Rhinolophus ferrumequinum: one gene and its partners. The protein of the gene in region 1 purifies or fractionates together with the protein of each later gene. This does not show direct contact. Links are inferred from orthologs where the notes say so. Each region holds a gene or a part of one and is shown in the gene's direction. Other genes may lie near its edges.

Region 1 (7,612 bases):
ACAATCCAAGGGACCTGGTTAACATTTTTAAAAAGTGTTTTCTTAAGGAAAAGGGGGAGGTGGGGCAGGAGATGAGGGGGTAAAGAATTACACAAAGATTTAGTCTAACGGCTTAAAAATCAAAAGGATCGTTGGACAGATAGATATCAAGTGTAATAGGAAACACACTGATCCTGGGGAGATGATTTAATATGGGCCCTCCAGCCTCCTTGGAGCTTAAACAATTATCTACAATTTGGAATTATACTTTAAATTCCCACATTGGTGTGTATTCTGGATCTATTTCTCAGGACGCAGCCAGCAATCTTGAGTTATCTAAACCAGGCTGAAAATTAGAGGCCATTAATAGCATCTCATAAAAAACGGCTTCTCAGGTTTTTTTAAGGGGAATATGCTGAGGACCACAGGGATTCAATGATAGGAAGAAGCAAAATGCTGTTAGTTATTTTTCCAAAGCTTAATCTAGGGATCTTTTTGAAGAGCTCCTTACCCAGCCATGAGATGAACGCCAAAACCAATACAGACGATGTTTTTCCCATTTAGAAATGGTGACCAGAAACATCATCCATGAAGAGATGTTCCCTGGAGTTCCCAGAGGTAAGGATCTTAAGCTACTTTTCATAACCATCCGGACCACTAGTTTGCCGTATCCTGGTCCCCAAAATCCCTAGGCATCCTAGACTGAAAACTGAGGGCAATGGGGCCCACAAAAACTCCACTTTAATACACCTAATTTTTCTTCTATTCCCTTGTAAACTGTTGGTGTTGTATGAGCAAGAACTCTATTTATTTTCTACAAACGAAACACAACAACAAAACCCTGAAAACATATTGCAAGTGCTTCCCTGTCCTTCCAGGCTCCCAGAACCTCTGCTTGCAGGCTAGTAACTGTTTCCCATTGAGCAGCAGCCACTGAAGGGGCCTAACTCTTGGCCCCAGCAGGCAGGGGTCAATTCATCATGGACTTGCCAGAGGAGAGACACAGGAGACTGAAAAGAGAAGCCTCTGCTCTCAGTTCAATTGGGAAGGATAAACCAACAAGCTGGCACTAATTAAGAGCTAATGGCCTTACAATGGAGCATTGCCAAAGGATAACGACCCTCCAGCTGCAGCATAAATATCAAGGCATTTGGGGCAGAGCCAAGACATATATTTCCAGAGTGCATTAGACACTGCAGCAGCCTTCCTCACCGTGGTTCTGCTGAGAAAAATGAGAGGATTTAAGATAGGTGGGGAAGGAGCTGGGTCTTACTAGGACCACCATCTGGTAAGCCGGTCAGAAAGCCTCAGGGTGACTTTGGGAAAATACTTTGCTTTTCAGATCTCAAAGTTTTGTGTATACAAGAATCACAAGACAAGCTCGTACAAATGTGTATTCTCCGGGCCCCACCTTCAGAGGGTCTCATTTCATTACCTCTGGGGTGAAGCCCTGGAGTCTGCATTTTTAACCTGTTCCCCCAAGGGATTCTGATGAAGGTGGTCCTCAGATCATACTTTGAAAAACGCGACTGTAGAAGTTGCTGCTCCTTGCACATTAGACCCTAATGAAAAAGTTTTTACGGAATGAAGAAGAAAGTAAGGTTAGATTCTCTGCTTCCTATGGAAACACCAGCCCGTTCTTTCCTATTAGAACTTGGCAGGAGGCTGTTGCAGGAGGATAGAGAAGAGTAGCATTTTCAGCCAGTTCCTGTTGGGGTCTTCCCATTCACACCGACCTGTGGTTCCTGCAAACAAGAGTTCAGGGAATGAGGTGCTAACCATGGATCTGGAGGAAAGGAGAAAGCAGCCCATCTCCATGGTGTGTAGCATGTCTGCTATACTTTCATACACTGGAACTGTTATGAGCACGCTGCAATCTTTCAGAGTAGTTAATATGTCTGTTTTAAAGCTGAGGAATTATAGGCCTGGAGGTGTATCTTGCCTCCTCTGGTTACCACGACATCAGAAAGGAGAGTTAAAAATAGTCATTGTATTATAATTGTGGCAAGCAGGGCACGCAAACCAAACCAATAACTTAAGCTTGACCCACCTTGATCAGGCTTATTTTCAGCTGGTAGAACTGAGGTTGGTTGTCAGGATCAGAAAATAGTGTTGTAAAAGAATTGATGGATCAGGTTATAAAAATAGATGGAAAGTTTGTATGATAAACGCAAGCTGAGTATGAGAACAGGAGAGAAACAACCCACCATATCATCTGGGAAAATGAAACTCCTTGGCAAGACTTCACAACAGCCTGATTCAAAATTTCATAATGAAATTATGTCTCTGATCAAAGCCTGAATGAGCTCATGGGCTGATTTTTGCCATTCGTGTTTATTCTGGTTTGAACCAAATTGAGGCATCAGAAACACATTATCCTAGTCTTCTCTCTGGGAGTGGGCTATTGCACCCTCATTTGGGGGACCAAAGGGACAGTGTGAGGCAGAACGAGACATCTTTTGATCCTCATTCAGCATGAAGTTATTTCTCATCATAGATCATCTCTCAGAGACTCCCTCAGACACCATGTCAGGCTCAGGGACTTTCTAGCAAAGTTGTGTTTAATCTCAGGATACTTGCCCTGGGGGCAATAAAAGTGAGTCTCAAGGGACAGAAGGTATTTCCTACTCTTGTCTAGGACATGGCCTGCTTTTGCTCTAGAAAGAATGTTCTGGGGCTTGTTTGTTTTAGACTCAGAAATAAAGAATCATCCCTCTCACAATTAGAGTACCTCACTTTATACCAAGTTGTTTGTTTTTACGAGACGAGCTTCACCACAGGGTGGAATCCACCTTCCTCGGGCCTAACCACCTCTTCTCTGATCCTGAAGGCACAGCGACAGGCACTTCCTGACAACTCGAGGTGCTAAAAAAAAAAAGAAAGAAAGAGAGAGAAAGCTTCTTGGTTGAAACACTGGCATCTAGAAACTGTATTTTGACTAGTAGAAACAGAAACTCTTGGGTCTTACCACTGTCATTTCCCCTCAGGGCAAGAGGCATTCCCATCTGCTACTGACTAAATGTTTGTGTCCCCTTAAAGTTCTTAGGTTAGAACCTCTAATCCCCAATGCAACAATACTTGGAAGTGGGGCCTTTGGGAGGTAATTAGGTTTAGATGAAGTCATGAGGGTGGAGCCCCCATGATGGGATTAGTGCCCTTATAAGAAGACGAGAGCAGTCCCTATCTCCCCAACATGTGAGGACAGTGAGAAGACAGCTATCTGCGAGCCAGGAAGAGAATTCTCACCAGGAACCCAACCAGGCTGGTACCCTGATCTTCCCAGCCTCCAGAATTGTAAAAAATAAATGTCTTGTTTAAGCCATGCAGTCTACAGTATTTTGTTACAGCAGGCAGAGCTAAGACACCATCTATTCACTCCTTCCTTCAGTGAATAGTTACTGAATCCTTACTAAGTTTCAAGTGCTGTTCTAAATCATGGAGATACAGCAGTGGACAAACTTACAAGGTCCCTGCTCTCAGGAAGCTTACATTCTATTTTTGGGGAAGCAGCCGATAAACTTGTAAATAACATAATTTCATATAGTGATAAATGCCATGAAGTAAATAAAATAGAATAATGTGACGGAATGACTGCAGAAGGGTGAGAGATGGCTGATTTAGACAGTGTTGAAAAACAAAACTCAACCAAGTAAATTTGAAGATCTAATCGGCTTTATTAAGTGATTCACAGAATCGGGCAGCATCCCATATCAAGTTTTGGTTTGGTGACATGGCTTAGCCACTATGCCTCCATTTTGGCCTGCTGTTTCTTTTTTTTAACAACAGGAAAGACTTCTCCCAATAGGAAGGGTTGCCAGATAAAATACAGTATGCCCAGGTAAATTTGAATTTCAGACAAACAATGAATTTTTTAAAATATAAGTATGTCCAAAACATTGCATGGGACATACTTATACTAAAAAATTATTCATTGTTTATCTGAAATTCAAATTTAACTAGTCGTATTTTTATTGGCTAAATCTTAGGACCCTACCCAACAGGTCACATTTCGGCTGAGAACTGAATGACCAGGGGAAACTAGCCATGCAAAGATTCAGGGAAAGAATGATTCAGGTAACGGGAACATTCACTGTAAATGTCAGAATAACCAGAGGGAAGGAGGTACAAATGAGGTCAGATAAATAGGCAGGGGCCAGATCATGCAGAATTCTATAGGAATGACCAGGAGTTGGAGTTTCAATGTCTCTGTCTGTCTCTGTCTCAAGCTCTAAGAGTGATGATAAGCCATTGGAGTTTTAATGAGCGCGTGACAAAATCTGATTGATATCTGGCTGCTGTGTGGTCAGTCGTTTTTGGAAGGGCTTAGAGGACAAATTCAGATAATTAAACTTAAGTTTGTGCCATGGTCCAGGGAAGAGGCTTCTGTGTTTGGGGGGTGGGCCCAACTAGGGGCTCTGGGCCCTTGGTCCTAGGTATCTAGGCGGTTGCTATGGAGGGGCAGCTTGACGGTTGCTAGGGAGAGAGAGAGGGGCGGGGGCTGGGCGCAGGGCGCTGTGGGAGCGGCCCGCACGGGGGCGGAGCCCGGAATGCGGCCGCGCGCTCAGCGAGTTCGCAGGAAGTCGCCCTGGGGAAGCAAGGGGCGCGAGCGGAAGTGATGTAGCCCTTGCACACGTGGTCTTGCGTGGTTCATGCGGGTCACTTCGGCGGCTCTTGGAAAGTGACGAACTCGTTTACCAGCCGTAGGCCGGATCTAGCACTCCGGTCCTCGTCCCGTCGGCAAGATGGTGAAGCCCAAGTACAAAGGACGGAGCACCATCAATCCATCTAAGGCCAGCACAAACCCCGGTACAAGCGGCGGAGCTCGCGGAGGGTGGAGCTTGGAGGAAGCTTGGGGGGAGGGCTTCGAGGAGACGGGGGGGAGGGGGGGAAACACGGGTGGCATTGCTTGGAGTGACTTCGAGCTGTGTGGCTATTGGGGATGAGGACGGAGAAGGTGGTTTCTTCTTTCGGAGGCACTGAGGAGGGCTGACATCTTGCACGCCTGTCACGACTAGGTGTCAGGCACCGGGTCTAAAGCTGGGGAAAGTGAACATTCAGGCCTGGCAGCCGTGGGGCGACTCCAGTTGTGAGATGCAGAGACTGGGAGGCTCTGAGCTGGAAGCGGCCGTTAAACTTGACCTCTTCTTGCGTCTTAGCGTGGGTCAGGTGTTGAAGCTCCTCCCCCAGTGTATTTCAGTCTTGTATGATTCCAGCTTTCCAACTCAAGGAATTGCCAGAAGTAAATTAGATAAAGTCAGATGCAAAGTGATGTAAGGCCAATCCATGTGGCCTTTTATACTTGACCACATTTGCCTGTCACCTTAGCTTTGACCATTTAAATGAGAAAGGGATTGTAGATTTGGCTCTTGGAGTCATCCTGTCTAGCAAAGTGCAGAGAAAATCCTACAGATAAATAAAGATGTTTTTGGAGATGTCTATGAGTTGTCTAGGTTCTACCTAAAGGATGAACAAGACAGCCTTTGGAGGAGTCTGTTCCATTCAGGTTTAGTTGATAAAACTGTTTTTAAATATGCTTTAAAGTTTTTGATGACTTGAATTCATGTTGAATGTTTTCTCTGGATTGCTGATACTCAGTTTGTGTAGACTTAGAATGTTAGGAACCCCCCCCCCCAAAGGACCTTAGAGATCATGAGGTTATAAGTGAAGATACAGCCAAAATAGGGGAAGTGGCTTGTCACAGTTGGTACAGTTAATAAGCAGTAGGGCTGCCACTCCTGTGATGTTAGCCTGTTTACAACTGCATGACTTCAAGAGTAGACAGGTGATTTGAAGGGAGTTACAGCATAAATCACCCTCTGCTTATTTGTTCTCTTTCTCTTTCAACTATAAGGCAAGAATTGCTAGCTATTGGTTAAACTAAAATCAAACATTAGGAAGTTAAGAAACTACTACATTAGGAACCTTGTGTCAGAATTGTAGTTCCCACGGTGCCTTGCATGTAGCAGACACTGGTATTTGTTAAATTGAGACCCAGAGGTAGGTGTCTTAGTGGTTAAGAGCACAGATAGTGGTCAGATGCTTTTGTTTAAATTGTGGCTCTGCCATTTAGGAGCGGTGTGATATTGGGCAAGGGTCTAACCACTGTGCCTCAGCTTCTTAGCCTACAGAATGGGGGTAATGTGTCCCTCTTTATAGGATTATTGTATGGATTACATGAGACAATGCCTGTGATGTGGACAGCACAGGGCCATAATTAATGCCCCAAAATATTGGCTGTTGTCACTGTCAAACACAATCCTACCGAGGCTCAAAGATTAGGTCAGGTGTGTCATGCCATGTAGCTTCCAGTAATTATAATGTGGGCACAACATACGGAAAAAGTCGAGATTTTTCAGTGAGGCGGCAGCCTGCCTACTCTGAATGAACTAGTTGGTGCGTTGGAAGCAGTGATCAAACTTAGACTTATTGGTTATCAAATAGTATGCGGTCTACTTGTGTGTTTCCTAGATCGAGTACAGGGAGCTGGAGGCCAAAACATGAGGGACCGGGCCACAATCAGGCGCCTGAATATGTACAGGCAGAAGGAGCGCAGGTGAGCATTGAGCAGTCACCCTTTCCCCCCCCTCTATGCCCTTGACTTGTAGCTGGGACCCATTGAGTTTTTGATAGTCCCACCCCCGCTATATCCCCAAGGCCGGGTAGTGTGATTTCAACTATCATTTTCTATGGGTGTTGTTATGATAAATTGTGAATTTTTTGGTTACAGACATGGGTAGTGTGGGTGGTGAAATCATGATTGTGTCACAACAGCTAGAGGTCTTGTTCCTCACAGTTTCGGCCCCCACAAGTGTAAATCTCAAGTTGAATATCTGTCAGATAGAAATCTGGTTTTCTTTAACAAGGCATATAGGACTGCCTTGAAAGCAGCCAGAGGACTTGTTTCTAATGCCAAACTTTAGATCACAACGTTGTGGCACTTAGAAACTCATCCCAACGCTGAGTTCTGCTGAGGCAGCCTCTGCTACAGAGACTCGCGGAGTGTGGCGTTTCGCTAGCTGGTCTTAATTTGTTTGGTAATTAGAGATTCTTCATCCGTTCTAAAAGATGTGTCTAAAACACCAACGTCAATGAACTTAATCTGCCTTAGTCACCTACTCTGCAGTTTGTTTTAGAATTTTGAGTTACAGCATAAATCACCCTCTACTTAAAATTCATTTAAACCAGCCTTCAAGTAATTACCCAAAAAACTCAACTATGTGATTTTTTTTTTTAAAGCAAAAAACAGTAAACAGATTTTTAAACCTTGGCATTATTTGTTATTCATCTAGCAGAAATCATTATGTGCTCTGTTGCAAGAGGTTAAATGGCTTTTGGGCAATCTGTTTCAAATGTAGTACTTTTTGTTTACTGAAATCTGTATTTCATGATCATTTACAACCAAAAAAAAAAAAGAAAAGAAAATGTCCTTTTGATGGAAAGGGTATTCTGTAAACCAAACTTTGCTGTTGCCTTTCTTCTGTTGTCAACCAAAATCTGTTAATTTCCTCAATTTAGGAATAATCGTGGTAAAGTGATTAAGCCTTTGCAATATCAATCAACGGTGGCTTCTGGCACAGTGGCAAGAGTGGAGCCAAATATTAAATGGTTTGGTGAGTATTGTCCTCTCTTATTT
Region 2 (7,058 bases), on another chromosome or scaffold:
CATTCTTACCGGGGAACGGGGGTAGCCTCCCGAAATCCAACCTGGTAAGTAAGCTTCCTGAGGAGAGCAGCCTCAGGCCTGCTGTGGTCACTCTTTTTGGCATACAAGTCCTGTCCATTTCCTTTTGTGATCTGTCCCCCAGCTCAGGACACTCTCATGGGCAGCCGCTGAGGAAATCGTTCCAATACATCTAGTAATTCCAGTCATGGCTAATGTTTACTTCATGCCAGGACTTGTGCTAGGTAGGGTTTTGCAGATGTTCTCTCAATGAATGCTTGCCAACTCCGAGAAATCAGTCCTCTCATCTTCCCCACTTGATAGATGAGGAAACTGAGGCGTGGGCGGTGGAGTTACCTGGTCACCTGGCCAGTAAGCCCTGGAGCTGGGATTTGAACCCAGGCAGAGGCGGACTCCCAGGCCCAGCTCTTCAGTAGCGCAGGCTCCTGTGATCCTTCCTCGGCACCTCGAGAGCCCCTTACAGAGGTGGCTCAGGGGGAAGCAGCTTACCCTGTAAGGGTCAGACCATCTTCCACCCAGCAGCGGTGGGGATGTTTTCCTTAGACTTGTACACAGATGAGTAGGCCGTAGTGCTTACTCTTAAGAGTCATGGTCAGAGAGGGAGGAGAAGTCCAGAGCATTCCAATTGAAGGTATAAATGGAATGTGCAGGCCAGCCCAAGACAGTACCAACCTAATGGCAGGAATGCAGGGGTGGGGGCGGTGGGGGCAATCCAGGAAGACTTCTTGGAGGAGGTGATGCCAGACGTGGTGGTTGATGGGCAAGTGGGAAAGGGTATTTTAGGCCAAAGACTAGCTGGAGCCTGGAGCAGAGCCGGCCTGATTGGAGTCTGGGGGGGCATTCGGATCTACTCTGCTGAAGGACCCAGGGCAGGAAGTGGCTGGGTATGAGGGGAGAGGGGCAGGCAGGAGCCAGCCTGCAGGGGCCATGAGAGATTACGTTGAGGAGCTTGGCTTTCCCCATCAGCTTCAGGGGACGAGAGGGTTTCAGACACGAGCACGATACGTTCAGTTAGGCCTTTTAAAATACTGTATTTGGCAGTTTGAGCAATGGCTTTGGCTATTTTAATAATGCAGAAGATGGAGTGGGGCATTACTTGGGCAATTGGATGAAGCAGAGGGAATGGTTTGAGGGAAATTGAAGAGGGAAAATTAGCAAAATCTGTTGACTGATCACTTACATGGGGGGAGAGAAAGAGGAGCCCAAAATGCTGGCCCGGCAGGGTTTCTGTCTGGATCAGCCCAGGTCCAACCGGGAACACCCAAACCATTCCATACAGCCTGTAAAGCCGGGCGGGGGGGTGTATGTATGCAGGGTTGGTTACATCCTGATGGAAGTGACAAGGAGAAAATTCTGAGAGGTTGTCAATAAATTATAGATGCCCGGGAGTGAGAGAGAGAGAACTGTTGGTCTGTCAATGGCTGCGGGCCAGCCATCAAAAGACTGCTCCCAGGCCTTCTGTGTCTGTTGAAAGTTCAGATTAATTTCCGGGAGGGTATTTCCGCAGATTCTCCCAGCCAGGCACCAGTGAATTCCAGGAGCCTCGGCTGCAGGAGCAGACCTTTCTTTCTTCGGACTCCTCTCTCAGAGCTGGCCCGTGTCACCTTCTCCCACCCCTTTGCCTGCAGCTCATGCAAATTCCTTCAGACAGCCTACGTCTTTCTTCCCACTTCCCCCTACTTGATGTATAAAAATGCTTGCCAACTCCAAGTCGGTGGACATGTATGTCTTTGCTGCTGGTGGTTTGGACTTCACGCCCCAAGACCAGTCTTCTTCTTGGTGAGCATTTTTGGCTCAATGAAACCTTTCTTTAAAAAAGTCTTTTATGTGGAGAGGCTGGGGCCATAGAGTGCCTCTCTGGTGGGAGCTGGAGCCACTGCCAGAAACTCCATTCAAAACGGAGAGGAAGGGAGAAAATGGCCCTGCTTATCCTGTCCTCTGCCCTCCAGTGGTACCAGTGCCCCCAGTGGCCAGAGCCCCGCTGGAAACCAGTTCACAAGGGAACCTGGAAAGAGCTGAAAAGGGCAGGATTCGGTCAGAGCCCCAGCACAGCAGCCCAAGTGGGCAATGGGGCAGAAATGGAGAGGCAGCTTAGGGGAGGGTGGGGATGCATCATTTCTGGGCAGGTGACTCAGGTGCTGTGGGGCCTCCGGGGGGGAGAGGTCCAGGAGGCACTTACTGGACCCATGATTCCAAAGGTCGGGGAGGAGGTCTGCACCCATGCATTTGGAATTTGCCAGCCTGTAGTGGTGACCAATGGATGTGTTCGCAGGGTAAGTGTTTGTGTTACTTAAAAAAAAATATTCAAGTAAGTTTCCAAACCAGTTGCATCATCTTACACTCCCCACCGGCTTACAAAGGGTCTGTATGCTCCACATTCTCTGCAACATCTAGTCTTTATTTTAGATGCTCTAGAGGGGGTGAAGTGTACCTCACGGAGGTTTTAATTTGCATTTCTCAGGTGCCCTCTGAGATTGAGTGCCTCAGGAAGGACTTCTATGTGGACCCATGTGAACATACTCCAGAGATTCCACTCTGAAGGCGTCTCCAAGGGAATCTGAAGGGGAAGCAGGGCAGGGGTGTGGGTGGCCCAGGGCGCCTCCCAAATCAAGATCTCCGTTCACATTCTCAAGCAGCATGCAGGCCTCTCAGGCAATTCCTTTGTCATCTCTGAGGAATGTGCAGGGTGTCCCGTGAGAGCCCCAGTTAAAGGTTTGAACTTGGGGCCTGACAAAAACCTGAGTCTAAACCCTCAGGTCACCCCTTGCTTGCTGGGATCTTGCACACTCGAGTTTTCTCATCTGTAAAATGGGTACAATCATCTTTTTTGTAGGGTGGCCACGAGGATTCAATCGGATAACGTTGCTCAAGTGGCACAGAGGAGCTCTGCACTCGAAGCAGACGTCGCTGGTTTTGATGTTCGAACGAAAGAGATGCGGGAGGTCGTCTTTGATGAGGAAACTGAGGCCCAGGTTAGTTACAAGATGTGCCCCCCAAAACCTGCTAATTAGGACAGAGTTGGAATAAAACCCAAGTCTCCCCGGTTCCCCTGCCAGTTTCCCCTCCCAACCTGCCTCCGCATTTAACCACTAAGCACACGTGTCAGGCCTGGAATGGCGACACCTGTCTTCGTTTGGATCATTGTCTGAGGGCCCAGGGTGGACGCACATGGGGACAAATCTCCATCTGAAGTTCAGTTGAGGATTCTCACAGATCAGGATTGGGCTCCTATGACTTTGTTTCTGCTCATTCGCTTTTTCAGAAAAACCCCAGCCCCACGTAATAACCACAAGGTACGTGTTGTCCCAGTTACACCCATCCTCTCTCTCCATCCTCACTTCCCACTGGACGGCCTGGGGGAGAGGGGACATGACGACACAGCATCAGATAGGGAAGCTTTGGCCTTTTGGGGCGTCATTTATTCCCCCCCTTTGCTCCGGTGAGACACCACCAGAGGTCAGGCTAGGAACCGCTCTCTCCACCTGCCCTGAGCCAACGAAGCTGCTTGGGGGGAAAGGTGCTTTTTTCAATATCGCAGAAGCAATGCGTCTTTACACACACTCAACCACGGCCTTGACGTGGTTTTGGAGGCGGTGAGGTCAGGGAATTCCGCAGAGCCCGCGGACACTTCTCGCCCGCCCAGCTTTACTGATCGGCTGCCCTGATGGCCTCGGGCCTGTGTCTTGGTCACAAAAGGCCCTAGAGAGTGAGACATAGCCCGTCAGGTGAGCATGAGGCGCGGCTGTCAGGCCGCAGGTGCGCTCGCCGCCCGCGCCCCGCGCGCGGAGCCCGGAAGCAGGCGCCTCACGTGCTCTGCGGGAACTCTCGGGTCTCTCGCCAAGGGGGCGGGCCGTCTCCGGCTCTGCGTGTTTGCGTCATTGCGTAAGCTGGCGGAGCCGCGGGATGGAAGGTGACGTTTCCGGCGCGTAAAGAGGCTGTGGGCGGGCTCAGGGAGTGGGGCCGAAGCCAACCCCGCCTCTTAAAGCTGCAGGGGCATTTCTGTGTCCCGCAGCGCGGGCCGCGGGCGGCGGCGTCTTTAAGTGTCGCCGTGACACGTGTGTGAGGCGCCGAGGGCCCGGATGGTGAGTGTACTGGGCCCGGGCCGAGCAGACGACAGCGCCGCGGGGCTGCAGCGTGCCGGGTGAGGGTCAGGTAGGCAGGGGTCGGGTCTGGGCTGCGCGCGGGTCGGGGGAAGGCTGCGCGTCTGGCCAAGGCGAGGGCTCCTGCCAGGCCTGGGGCGCGGGAAGGTGCGGCCCGACGCGGGCGCACCTGAGGGCGCTCCGGTGAAACGTGAGTGCGTGTCCCTGAGGGCTCCGCGGTCCGCGGGGAGGGCCAGGAGCCGTGCGGTCCATGGGGGATGTGGGGGTCCGCGGGGAGGGCCCGAGGCTGCGCGGTCCGCTAGAGGTTTGGGGGTCCACGGGGAGGCCCGGGGGGCGTGCGCTGCGGGCTGTCCTAGGTGCGCTCTGCCGACCCCGGTGAACACCGACCGGAGGTGGAGGGTCCGGGGAGCTGCCCCCCAGGAGCCTGGGCGGGGGAGGAGGCAGGGGCCTGTGTCCGTGGCGGGCGCAGTCGTTACGCACAGAAGCATCCTTCACGCGGGATCCAGACTTTCTCCGAGATGGCTTAAGTCAAAATCGGGGAGAGAGCGTTCTGTTTGGCGGCAGAGCGGAGATCTTCTCAGTTTCCTTTAGTAAGCTGTGTGGGAAAGGCTCGCCCCCGGGGCTGTAACCTTCCTCACGGTCATGGTGGTCGTGGTGGCTGCGAGTGGGTGGGTACAAGCTGTGGGGTTTGTAAACACCCGTTGCTTTTCTCCGGTGCTGTTGGGTCTGTCCTGGGTCGTAGGAGCTACAGTGGCCTCCTGAACAGCCTTTCTCTGTAAGGGATGTTGAGAGTCAGGCCTCCAAGGAGGGGGTCAGTTTGCTCTCTCTTGGCTGGGGACTGGTTCTCTACTTGCTCTGCTGAAGAGCCTGGAGGTCCCCCCCTACCCCCCCCACCCCCGCCCCTGAAAGCGCCCCAGGGAGGCCCAGCTCTGTCCATCTGAGGCTCCCCCCCCCCCCACCAGCACGTGGTTGACCCTGTGAGTCTTCAGTGCGGCTCATCCTGGAAACAGGAGGGATAGAGAATGTGCTTGAATGGAAAGGTGTTTGTTTGGAGGACGTTATGTCTGGATAAGTGGAGCCATCCCTGGACCATAAGAAACCTGGAATTTCCAGAGAGCATCCTCCCCCAGTTTCCAAGAGTGTTACCAAGTGTGTATGTCAAAGGGCTTGCTGGTGATACAAGGAATGTTCTTGGGGTTCCTACACCTCAGAGAGAAATCATTTTTAGGTTATTGCTTAATATTTCAGGTGAAACTGATGACATAGAGGGTGATCTCTCTGTCAGAAGTGGAAAAATTATGCTGAAGATCTGACTCCAGGAGGAGTGGGCTGTGGGATGGGTGTTAACTTACTTATCTCGCGTTAACTTGGGTTAAATCTCCCGAGTTCTGTTTTTCCTCCGGCCACTCAGTTCCCACACGTGCCTGTGGGCCCACGTCCATCCAGGACCACGTCCTCACCTGCCCACAGTGACGTGAGTCTTACCTCCAACAGGGACACTGGAGGGAGGTTTTCTGTGTTTCTTCGTTTCTGGGTGTTGATAAGCTTTTATTTATGGATCTCAGACATGATATATCTGAAATTGGCCGTCAAGTCACATGGGGACAGGAGAGGAAGGAGGATTGGTCCTGCATACTAGTAATTATTGACCCTGAATAAGGGGAACGAGGCGGGTCACTGCTGTTCTCTCCACATTGTGGATGTTTGAACATTTTCACAGTAAAAAGTTTTAAAGTACCTTAATTTTATGTAATCATAGTGCTTATGGATAATAATTAAAGAAAAAAAATCCACGTTGAGCAGACTGAAAATTTGGCAACTCTCAGTGCTCCTTCGATTTTTTTCTTTTTCTTTTTTTGAAATTTTACAGATTCATGAAATCTGAAAGTTGGAGATCAATATCTGTTACCTCTTACTCTTTAAGGTGCAAATTAGGCTGGAGTTGACCGGCAAACGTGGGGAGATTTTCGTTCACTGGTTTTGTCACTGGCGTGAAGGTTTAGCTGTAGAGCAAATGGCCACGTTTTCGTGCCATGCCTGTTGCTCTAATCTGTAGCTACTAGTTGGCTCAGTTTTCCTCCCTGCTCTCCCTAGATCTGCCCCTGCAATATTCTTTCAGCCTTAATGCCCACCGTTCCATTCTGGTACGTGTTTGGCCTTCCTGCCCCGCGTCCAGGGCATGGGGCTGATGCGATCGTGGGAAGAGAGAGAGCAGCCTCACGGGATGCTCTGTGCATCCCACAGGTTCTGACGCCCACCCTGGGCAACACGCTGGCAGCTCTGGTGATTTCACAGGCCAGAGACGAGGAGCACGCGTAAATGTGAGGTCCCAGCCCCACGCTCGCCCAGTTGGACCAAGAACCTGACCTCATGCCGCAGCAGCAGTGCACCCAAGTTCAGATGTCTCAGGTAAGCCACGCAGGTGCCTGCGCATCTTTTCGTTCTTGCTGGTTACCTGTGTGTGACCCAGTAGCAGTGTTCAGTGGTGAGAACTCTTAGATCATCCCCCACGAAAGGTGCTTTTGTTTCCTCAAGTCAAAGAACTTGAGCTTGCTTTCATTAAAAAAAAAAAAAAGGGGGGGTTACGTTTTCTGTTCTTCACAGATATTTTTATAGACAAAGAAACTTGACACATATGGAATTAGATGCTTCATGATAAATCTGAATGGTTTAGTAAGAGGTGCTGGAGGTGGTCCTTTCACTAGAACAGAGGCTTGGGGGTACCTGACTGGTTGGTTTCCCTGTGACACGTGGGACACTGGCCCTGAGGGGGTCATCATTTTTCTGATGGGAGTGAGCAATTTAAGGAACTTATTTTTCTAACTGTGACTCAAATAGTCCTTGACCTTCGGCTGGGATGGTTGAGCCGAGAGGCAGTGGGTGGGGAAGAGAAGCGGCAGATGTAACTGTAGCCATGGGAGGCGATGGGGGTTTCCTGTT
Region 3 (7,292 bases), on another chromosome or scaffold:
AAATAACAAGAGACAGGCCTAAGCTTCATAATAAAAAGTGTAGATCAGATATAAAGTAATTTTCCTAAAAATTTAAGTGATGGAGAGCCTTTAGAAGGAGGCCAGGTTCTCACCCACTACAGGCCCCAAGATGGATTATATGACCTCTCAAATCTGTTTCCAATTCTATGGCATATTGAATATATCTCCTAAGATTCACACACATACGCGCGCGCGCGCGCGCGCGCGCGCGCGCGCACACACACACACACAGCATGATTTAGTAGCTGTACTTGGAAATATCAGAGAGTGGTTGGATTTACAGCATTCTGTAATTTTCTCTTGTATTTGGTAAAAATTAATATGATACTTTTGTCTTGAATTCTGTTGTACTAGGTTGGGGGGAAATGCATATGTACTGCCCTTTTCACTTCTTTTGGACTGTTACAGAGCTCTAATACTTCCCCTTCTGACTTATAATATTCACATAATTAATTATTTATGTAGCCATAAATGATGGTAGAATAAAAAAATTAAACCCATACTCTATTACTCTTTTCCTTTCCTTTTTTGGTATTTCCTTTAAAATGTCATTCTAAATTATGATGCATCTTAAAGAAAACTTTAATTTATACATTGGCAGAGACTAGGTCTTTAATTTGTTATTCTTTCTTTAAGCATCTAATATAGTACATGTTAAGGTGCTTATTGACAATTAGGTTGGTTTATTTTAATTTAACACATTCAAAGCAATTCACAAATATTCTCAGTGGCAAATAGAGCTCTCTCCTAATTTATAGAAGTAAAAAAGACTAGACCTTAAAGACTTTAGGTCTTTGTTACCTTCTCAGGGACTTTCCTAAACACTTTCCCAACAGGTTACTGTTTTGTTTTTTTGTCCTTTTCATAGATGTTACTGCCATTTACTATAGTAAGCATAGTTTATATCTATTTTACATATTTAGTTTATTTTCTGTCTTCTGGCAGTAGAATGTAAGCTCCATGAGGGCAAGGAGATTTTTGTGTGCTTTTGTTCACTGCTGTAGACTCAATATCTAGAATAATGCCTGCTATATAATAGGTGTTTGGTATGTATTTGTTGAATAAATGAATACAAGAGATCCAGCAAACAGATTGGATAATCTTTCTCAACCATTGTTAATGATAATTCGTATTTATTGAATATTTTCTTATCTTCTTTGATTATCATATTGATCTAGGATGGTCGGTATTAATATTATTACTGTTTTCCAGTAATTAAGTAACTTGCCCAATGTTATTCAGAAATTAAGTAGCAGAAATTGGTTTCAGCATTAAGTGAAAGAAGACAGTCACAAAATGCCACATATTGTATGATTGTGTTTATATGATTTGTCCAGAATAGGTGAGTCTATAGAGACAGAAAGGAGATCAGTGGTTGCCTAGGGCTTGGGCAAAGGGAGGTTGGGAGAAGAAGCCTAATAGGTATGTAGTGAGTATCTCTTAGGAATGACAGAATGTTTTAAAATTAGACTTTGGTGGTGGTTGCACACCATGTGCATATACTGAGAACCATTGAAGTTTGAACTTTAAATGGGTGAATTGTGTGGTATGTGAATTATGTCTCAATAAAGCTGTTAAAAATAAAAAACTGATTTTAAACTCAGATTTCTCTGGTTTAAAGCTTCTAATCACCTTCTGTAAGGAGCCAAAACTGGAGAAATGGCTGGTTCTGGTTCCTGGTTGGGGAAAGCACAGGTTTCCTGGAATATCATGTGCTAGAAAGTAAACAGGTACTCAAAAACTGGGACATGTGCAAAGGATTGCAAGTGGAAAGTGTCTTCCCTGGTCAAATATAAGATAATTCAAGAATCAAAAATTAAGGTGATAGTAATTACTGTCAATATTGCTACTAAAAACAAAAACAAAAAAGCCAAAAACAAACAGAAAACAGAGGTGGTGGGAACGAAATGAAAGCTTTCCTCACATAAAAATATCACCTAATTAGCATAGATGGAACAGATGAAATGATAGGAGTGTAATATCATTCTACAACCACTATAGTAATAATTGATTCAGGCAAGCATCATGAATGGATGCTAACACAAAGAGTGAAAGATTCTAGGGGAAAGGCTCACACAGTCTCAAAGTATTATCCCACAGATTACTTAAAAAACAAAACAAACAAACAAACAAAACAACTGAGGTGAAATTCACATAACATGAAACTGACCATTTTAGAGTGAACAATTCAGCAGCATTTAGTACATTTACAGATAGAGGTGGCCACCACCACCTCTACCTAGCTCCAAAACATTTTCCTCACTACAAAACAAAACCCTGTACCCATTAAGCAGTGGCTCCTCATTTCCCTCCCCCCAGCCATTGCCACCACCAAACTGCTTTCTGTGGATTTGCTTATTCTGGACGTTTCATAAAATTGACTCATAATATGTGACTTTTTGTGCCTGGTTTCTTTCACTTGGCATGGTTTTGAGGTTCATCCATATTGTAGCACATTGTATCAGCACTGCATTCCTTTTTATGGCTGAAAAATATTTCATTGTATGTCTTTACCACAATTTGTTTATCCATTCATACATGGGTGGATATTTTTGGGTTGTTTCTAACCTTTTGGCTACTGTGATTCATGCTGCTCTGACCATTTGTGTACAAGGATTTGTTTGAGTACCTAGAACCATAGAATTGCTAATAATTCATTGGTTAGCTTCTTGAAGAACTGTAGCACTATTTCCCACAGTGATTGCACCATTTTACATTCTCACCAGTAATGTATGAGGATTCCAATGTCTCTACATCCTTGCCAATACTTATTTTCCATTAAAAAAAATTATAGTCATCCTATTAGGTGTGAAGTGCTATTTCATGTGGTTTTGCTTTTTCATTTCTCTAATGATGTTGAGCACGTTTTCATCCACTTGTATATTTTCTTAGGAGAAATGTCTGTTTCTTGAATCTGTTGCCCATTTTTCACACAGACTAGTTTTCAAATACAAAAGAAAAAAGTACCTTCACCATGGAGAAATGATTAAATGTAACATCATCAATAATGGAACAAACTGACGTGATATCCTTTCTGTAGTGGCAATGTGCTAAGACGGATACAATATCATCTAGATAGAGTGCCTGATACAATTATTTAACTTGACTCTAATAGAGAACAAACTGAGGAGCATTCTGCAAAACAGTGGAATTGGATTCTTCCAAAGAGTCAATGTTATAACAGAAAAAACAAAACAAAACCAGGGATTACTCTAGACTAAAGGAGTTTAAAAATACATAACAAACTAAGCGCAATGCTTGATCCTTGATTGTATCCTGGATTGGGGGGAAAAAAGTGAGCTATAACAGACATTTTGAGAATTTGAATATGGCTTCGGTATATTACAGATAATAGTATTAATATTAAATTTTCTTGGAGTAATAATGGAATTCTGATTATGTAGGAGAATATCTTTGTTCTTAGTAGATATTTATTGAAATATTCAGGGGTAAAGGATAACGATGTCTGTGAAAAACTCAAATGATTCAGTAAAAACAAAATAACCAAACAAAAGCCCCATACACACCACACACATATACATAGGTAAAGCAAATGTGGTGAAACCTTAAAAATTGGTGAATAGGGGTTAACATGGATGCTCATTATACTTTACTCGTAACTTTTCTGTAGGTTTAATATTTTTGAAAAAAAGTTGAGAAAGTAAAAAGCTCTTGAAGTCCAAGCAGAACTTTTTGTTCTTTGGGTTTAGCGTCTTTAGAATAAAGGCTAGCTACTTTGGTCAGTTAAGAATACCGTTGTGTAACCAAAGAGAGAGTAAATGATCCGGGTTATCTTTCAAAGTATTATAATTACTTAAATAAAAAAGAAAACATTGCAGTTATCATTTTGTCCCACCATCAACTTAATTCACATCTTTATTAGGAAGCATGCATGATACGCAGAAAGTTTGGATCAGCCAGGCCTAAATTTGAATCATTGCTAAGTAAACTGTTTGACCTCTTTAGGACTCAGTTTCCTCACTGTAAAAAGGAAAAAATAATTACTTGGTGGGGTTGTTGTGTTACACAGTCGTACACATGGTATTTATTGAGCGCGGCTTGAATTAACGTGTAAAAAGCGCCAACCTACTTTCCATGCTATTTGCAACTTTTCCTTCATTAAAGTCAAGCAATCCTGTGGGGTAAGTAAAGGCGAGAGATAAGATGACTTCTCCAAGGTCACACAGCTAGTGAAGGACCCAGGTTGCCCAGCTCTTGGTCCTGTGACCTTTCCACACTCGCCCGAGGGGAGAAAGCGGCGCTCATGGGGATGCAAGGATGTAGAGGAGCCAAGGGGGAGAAGAGGCCGCGCGAAGAGCGGTGGTGTGAGACCCGCGGAGGCGCGGGCCAAGGAAGGGCACATGGACAGGCGGGCCGCGCCACTGGCCGGGGTGAGGCTGTGGCTGGAGAACGAGGGTCGCGCGGCCGGGTGCGGGTGAGAGGCGGGAGGCCCGGGCCAGCCGCGGGGGCGCGAGAGGCGGAGGCCCCGGCCGCGGGAGGGGGCGGGGAGGCGAGGGCCGGCGCGGCGGAGGTCGTGGGGGGTCGTTTCCGCACCCGCGGGGCGGGCGTGGGGGTGCGGGGCGCGCGGAAGGAACCGGGCGCGGGGGTCAGGACCCCACCGGGTGGGGGGGCGGGGCGGGTCTGGCCGGGGGCGGGTCTTGCTGGGTCCCCCGCGGGAGCGGCGGCGGCAGCAGCAGCGGCGGCGCAGGCGCGGTTCCCGCCTCCTCCCGGCTGGCGGAGCGAGTGGAGGCTGCAGCCCGGCTCCGCTCCCGCGTCGCCGCCGCCGCCACCGCTGCGGCCGCCGTCGCAGAGCCCCCCCGCCCTCCTTCCGCCGCGTCGGTATGAGCTCCCGGAAAGGTGAGTGGCCCACGGCGTCCCCTCTTCCCTGCCACGCGGCCCCGCAGGCCGGCCTGCCTGACCGTTAATGTATGTCTCTTCTTTCCCCAGTGCTGGCCATTCAGGCCCGAAAGCGGAGGCCGAAGAGAGAGAAACATCCGAAAAAGTGAGTCCACGCGGCGCTAGCACCCGGATCCCCGCCCCCGGCCGGTCGGGGGCAGCCCGCGACGGTGCCCGGGAAGTTGCCCGGATCCCCAGGGCCAGCGGGCAGGCTGATTCCCAGGGACGCGGGCGCTAGCCTCCTGCGCGCCCCGCGGGCGGCCCGGGGGGAGGGGCGGAGGGCGGGGGAGGGGCGCGCGCGAGCCCGCGGCCGGCGGGTTGAGCATCCCCGGGCGGTCCCTGGGACCTAAGTCGCCGCGGCCGTCGGGGCGGTTGGATGAGGAGGTGCCGGGCGTGCGCCCGGTCGCCTGCGCGCCGAGCTGTCCCCGGAGGTCGCAGGCCTTTCCCCGGAGGGGCGCTGGCGCCGGCTGCGGCATGAGGCTGCCTACCTGCTCCCACCTGGGCACCGGGGCTCGAGAGAGGAGGAGCCGAGTGTACGAGAGAGTGCGTGTGTGAGTGTGTGTGTCGCGTCCTCGTCCTCCCCGGCCCTTGCCTGTCGGCTGAAAACCCGAGCCAGTTGTCAAGAGGTTCGCTCCGGGAGTGTTCCTGGCGCGAGTTCAACGCTGAGACCTGTGCATTTCGGCGCTTGGGTTTGTATTCGAAACTTTGTGCTTGGGCCGAACGTGACTGCTGCGCTGGACCGGTGGGCGTGTGCGCGGGCGGTCCCCGGCGCGGCTTCCCGGCCTCTCATTGTGCCGCGAGTTGATGAATAGGGTGGTGATATTTAAAACGTGCCAGTCGCCGGCCACCTCCAGCCTGGCTGCGGACCGTAGTGGGAGCGGCCGGCTCCCGAGAAGCCTTTCCTGGAGAGCTGCTCCGAGACTGCAGAGCGCCGCCGCCTCTTTTTCCTTTTTCTCTTAATTAAAAAAAAAACATCTGCCAGCGTTCAACATCTTTACTCTGTCTAGATTTGTGGCTTTGCTCTTCTTTTTGAGCAAGGAAGGTATTTTTGGTACTATGAGGAATGACAGTCCATGATCTTTTAATAAAATCACCAAGTATTTCCTTTTTGTTTCCTTTCGGGGGGGCTGCCTGCAGCATTCCTAGACTTTCTTCTTTCCTGGTCGCCTTGGTCTCCGCTTAGCAAATTTCGTACCCGTTGGTATCTATGCAAACTGCCTAAGTTATTGCTAATGTATATCATGATATTATTATGACAGGAGTTTTGTTCCTTTTAAATGGAATATAATTTGAAACTATGTTCAGGATTTCACAAAATATGGATATCCACCTAATGCCTCAAAAAACTTACAGAGTGTGGGAAAAATACTTAAATTAAGAACTTAAGGAACTGATGGGTAATTTGGTAGTTTTAGATGCTTTAAAACAATTAATGCTAGCTTTCAAGTCAATCTTCAATCTGGGATTTCCTTTGATGAACGATTAAAGTTGAGCCAGTAGGTAAGGCGAACTAATGTTTAGGATCTTGAGTTTTAGTCACAACTTTCAATTCAAAGCATTTATTTCCACATTGCTCATTATGTTCAGAAACGTAAAAAAGAATTGAAAAAACCCTGCCCCCAATTTTGGGGAATGACTCTGTGTGTATATATGTATACTTATGTGTATGTATATATACATATGTGTGTTAAATATATGCATACATACAGAAAAACAGTTTTAGTTAAGTCAATGTGTGTAGCATATTTTCATATTTCAGGGTATGACTTTCCTAATGGCTAAGAGCCTTTTTTTGGTGTGCTGCAGTTTGGATTTATGTGGTATGTTTATAAAGAATTAGTGTGTATCCAAGTATTCAACTGTTACTCACAGATTAATCTGTCAGTTTCTTCTATTGTCTGTTGTATGTATTTGATAAGCTTTGAGGGAAATCTCCCCTCCCCCCCGCCAGTGACTAAATTAACTGGTTAGTCTGCAAGGTAATTAATTAGCAAGAGCAGATTGGTCCAATTACATAAGTGTTTGATTAAGACAATGTCATTTTTAACTTAATCCTTTGAATCAAGATATTATTTTAAAGGAATGCTTGATATGATTTATGTATTCATGTATTCAATAAGTATTTGCATGCCTTTCCTAGGAGGCGGTGATAGAGCTTTGAACAAGCTGAACAAAGCTACTCCTGAAGCTTATATTCTATGGGGGTTTGGGGAGAATTCCAAAGAAGATGGATTGTGAATGGATTGTGGAGGACGGGAGAGGTACATAATGGGAGCTGGCCAATTATAGTACTTGGGAAACCATGGTGACTTGGTTTAGGGTGTAAAGAGTGGCACGCTGGAGAGAAGAGCTGGTGGAAGAGGGACTTGGGGAGA

What was found.
Region 2: the proteins of GNL2 (region 1) and USP36 purify together in Homo sapiens (affinity purification with mass spectrometry; 3 studies listed by BioGRID and IntAct, with this or other methods). This does not show direct contact. The link is inferred for Rhinolophus ferrumequinum from reciprocal best matches to the Homo sapiens genes GNL2 and USP36.
Region 3: the proteins of GNL2 (region 1) and SRPK2 purify together in Homo sapiens (affinity purification with mass spectrometry; 3 studies listed by BioGRID and IntAct, with this or other methods). This does not show direct contact. The link is inferred for Rhinolophus ferrumequinum from reciprocal best matches to the Homo sapiens genes GNL2 and SRPK2.

Annotation. Positions count from the first base shown.
Region 1 is NC_046292.1:26,254,565-26,262,176, reverse strand, and holds the start of GNL2 (nucleolar GTP-binding protein 2), read left to right. Parts: upstream 1-4,602; 5' UTR 4,603-4,721; coding exon 4,722-4,785; intron 4,786-6,447; coding exon 6,448-6,532; intron 6,533-7,494; coding exon 7,495-7,589; intron 7,590-7,612. UniProt on the Homo sapiens protein: GTPase that associates with pre-60S ribosomal subunits in the nucleolus and is required for their nuclear export and maturation.
Region 2 is NC_046304.1:52,635,944-52,643,001, reverse strand, and holds the start of USP36 (ubiquitin carboxyl-terminal hydrolase 36), read left to right. Parts: upstream 1-4,048; 5' UTR 4,049-4,170; intron 4,171-6,362; 5' UTR 6,363-6,527; intron 6,528-7,058. UniProt on the Homo sapiens protein: Deubiquitinase essential for the regulation of nucleolar structure and function. Required for cell and organism viability.
Region 3 is NC_046303.1:48,818,217-48,825,508, reverse strand, and holds the start of SRPK2 (SRSF protein kinase 2), read left to right. Parts: upstream 1-4,282; 5' UTR 4,283-4,285; coding exon 4,286-4,412; intron 4,413-4,745; exon of another isoform or gene 4,746-4,862; coding exon of another isoform or gene 4,863-4,878; intron 4,879-4,968; coding exon 4,969-5,023; intron 5,024-7,292. UniProt on the Homo sapiens protein: Serine/arginine-rich protein-specific kinase which specifically phosphorylates its substrates at serine residues located in regions rich in arginine/serine dipeptides, known as RS domains and is involved in the phosphorylation of SR splicing factors and the regulation of splicing.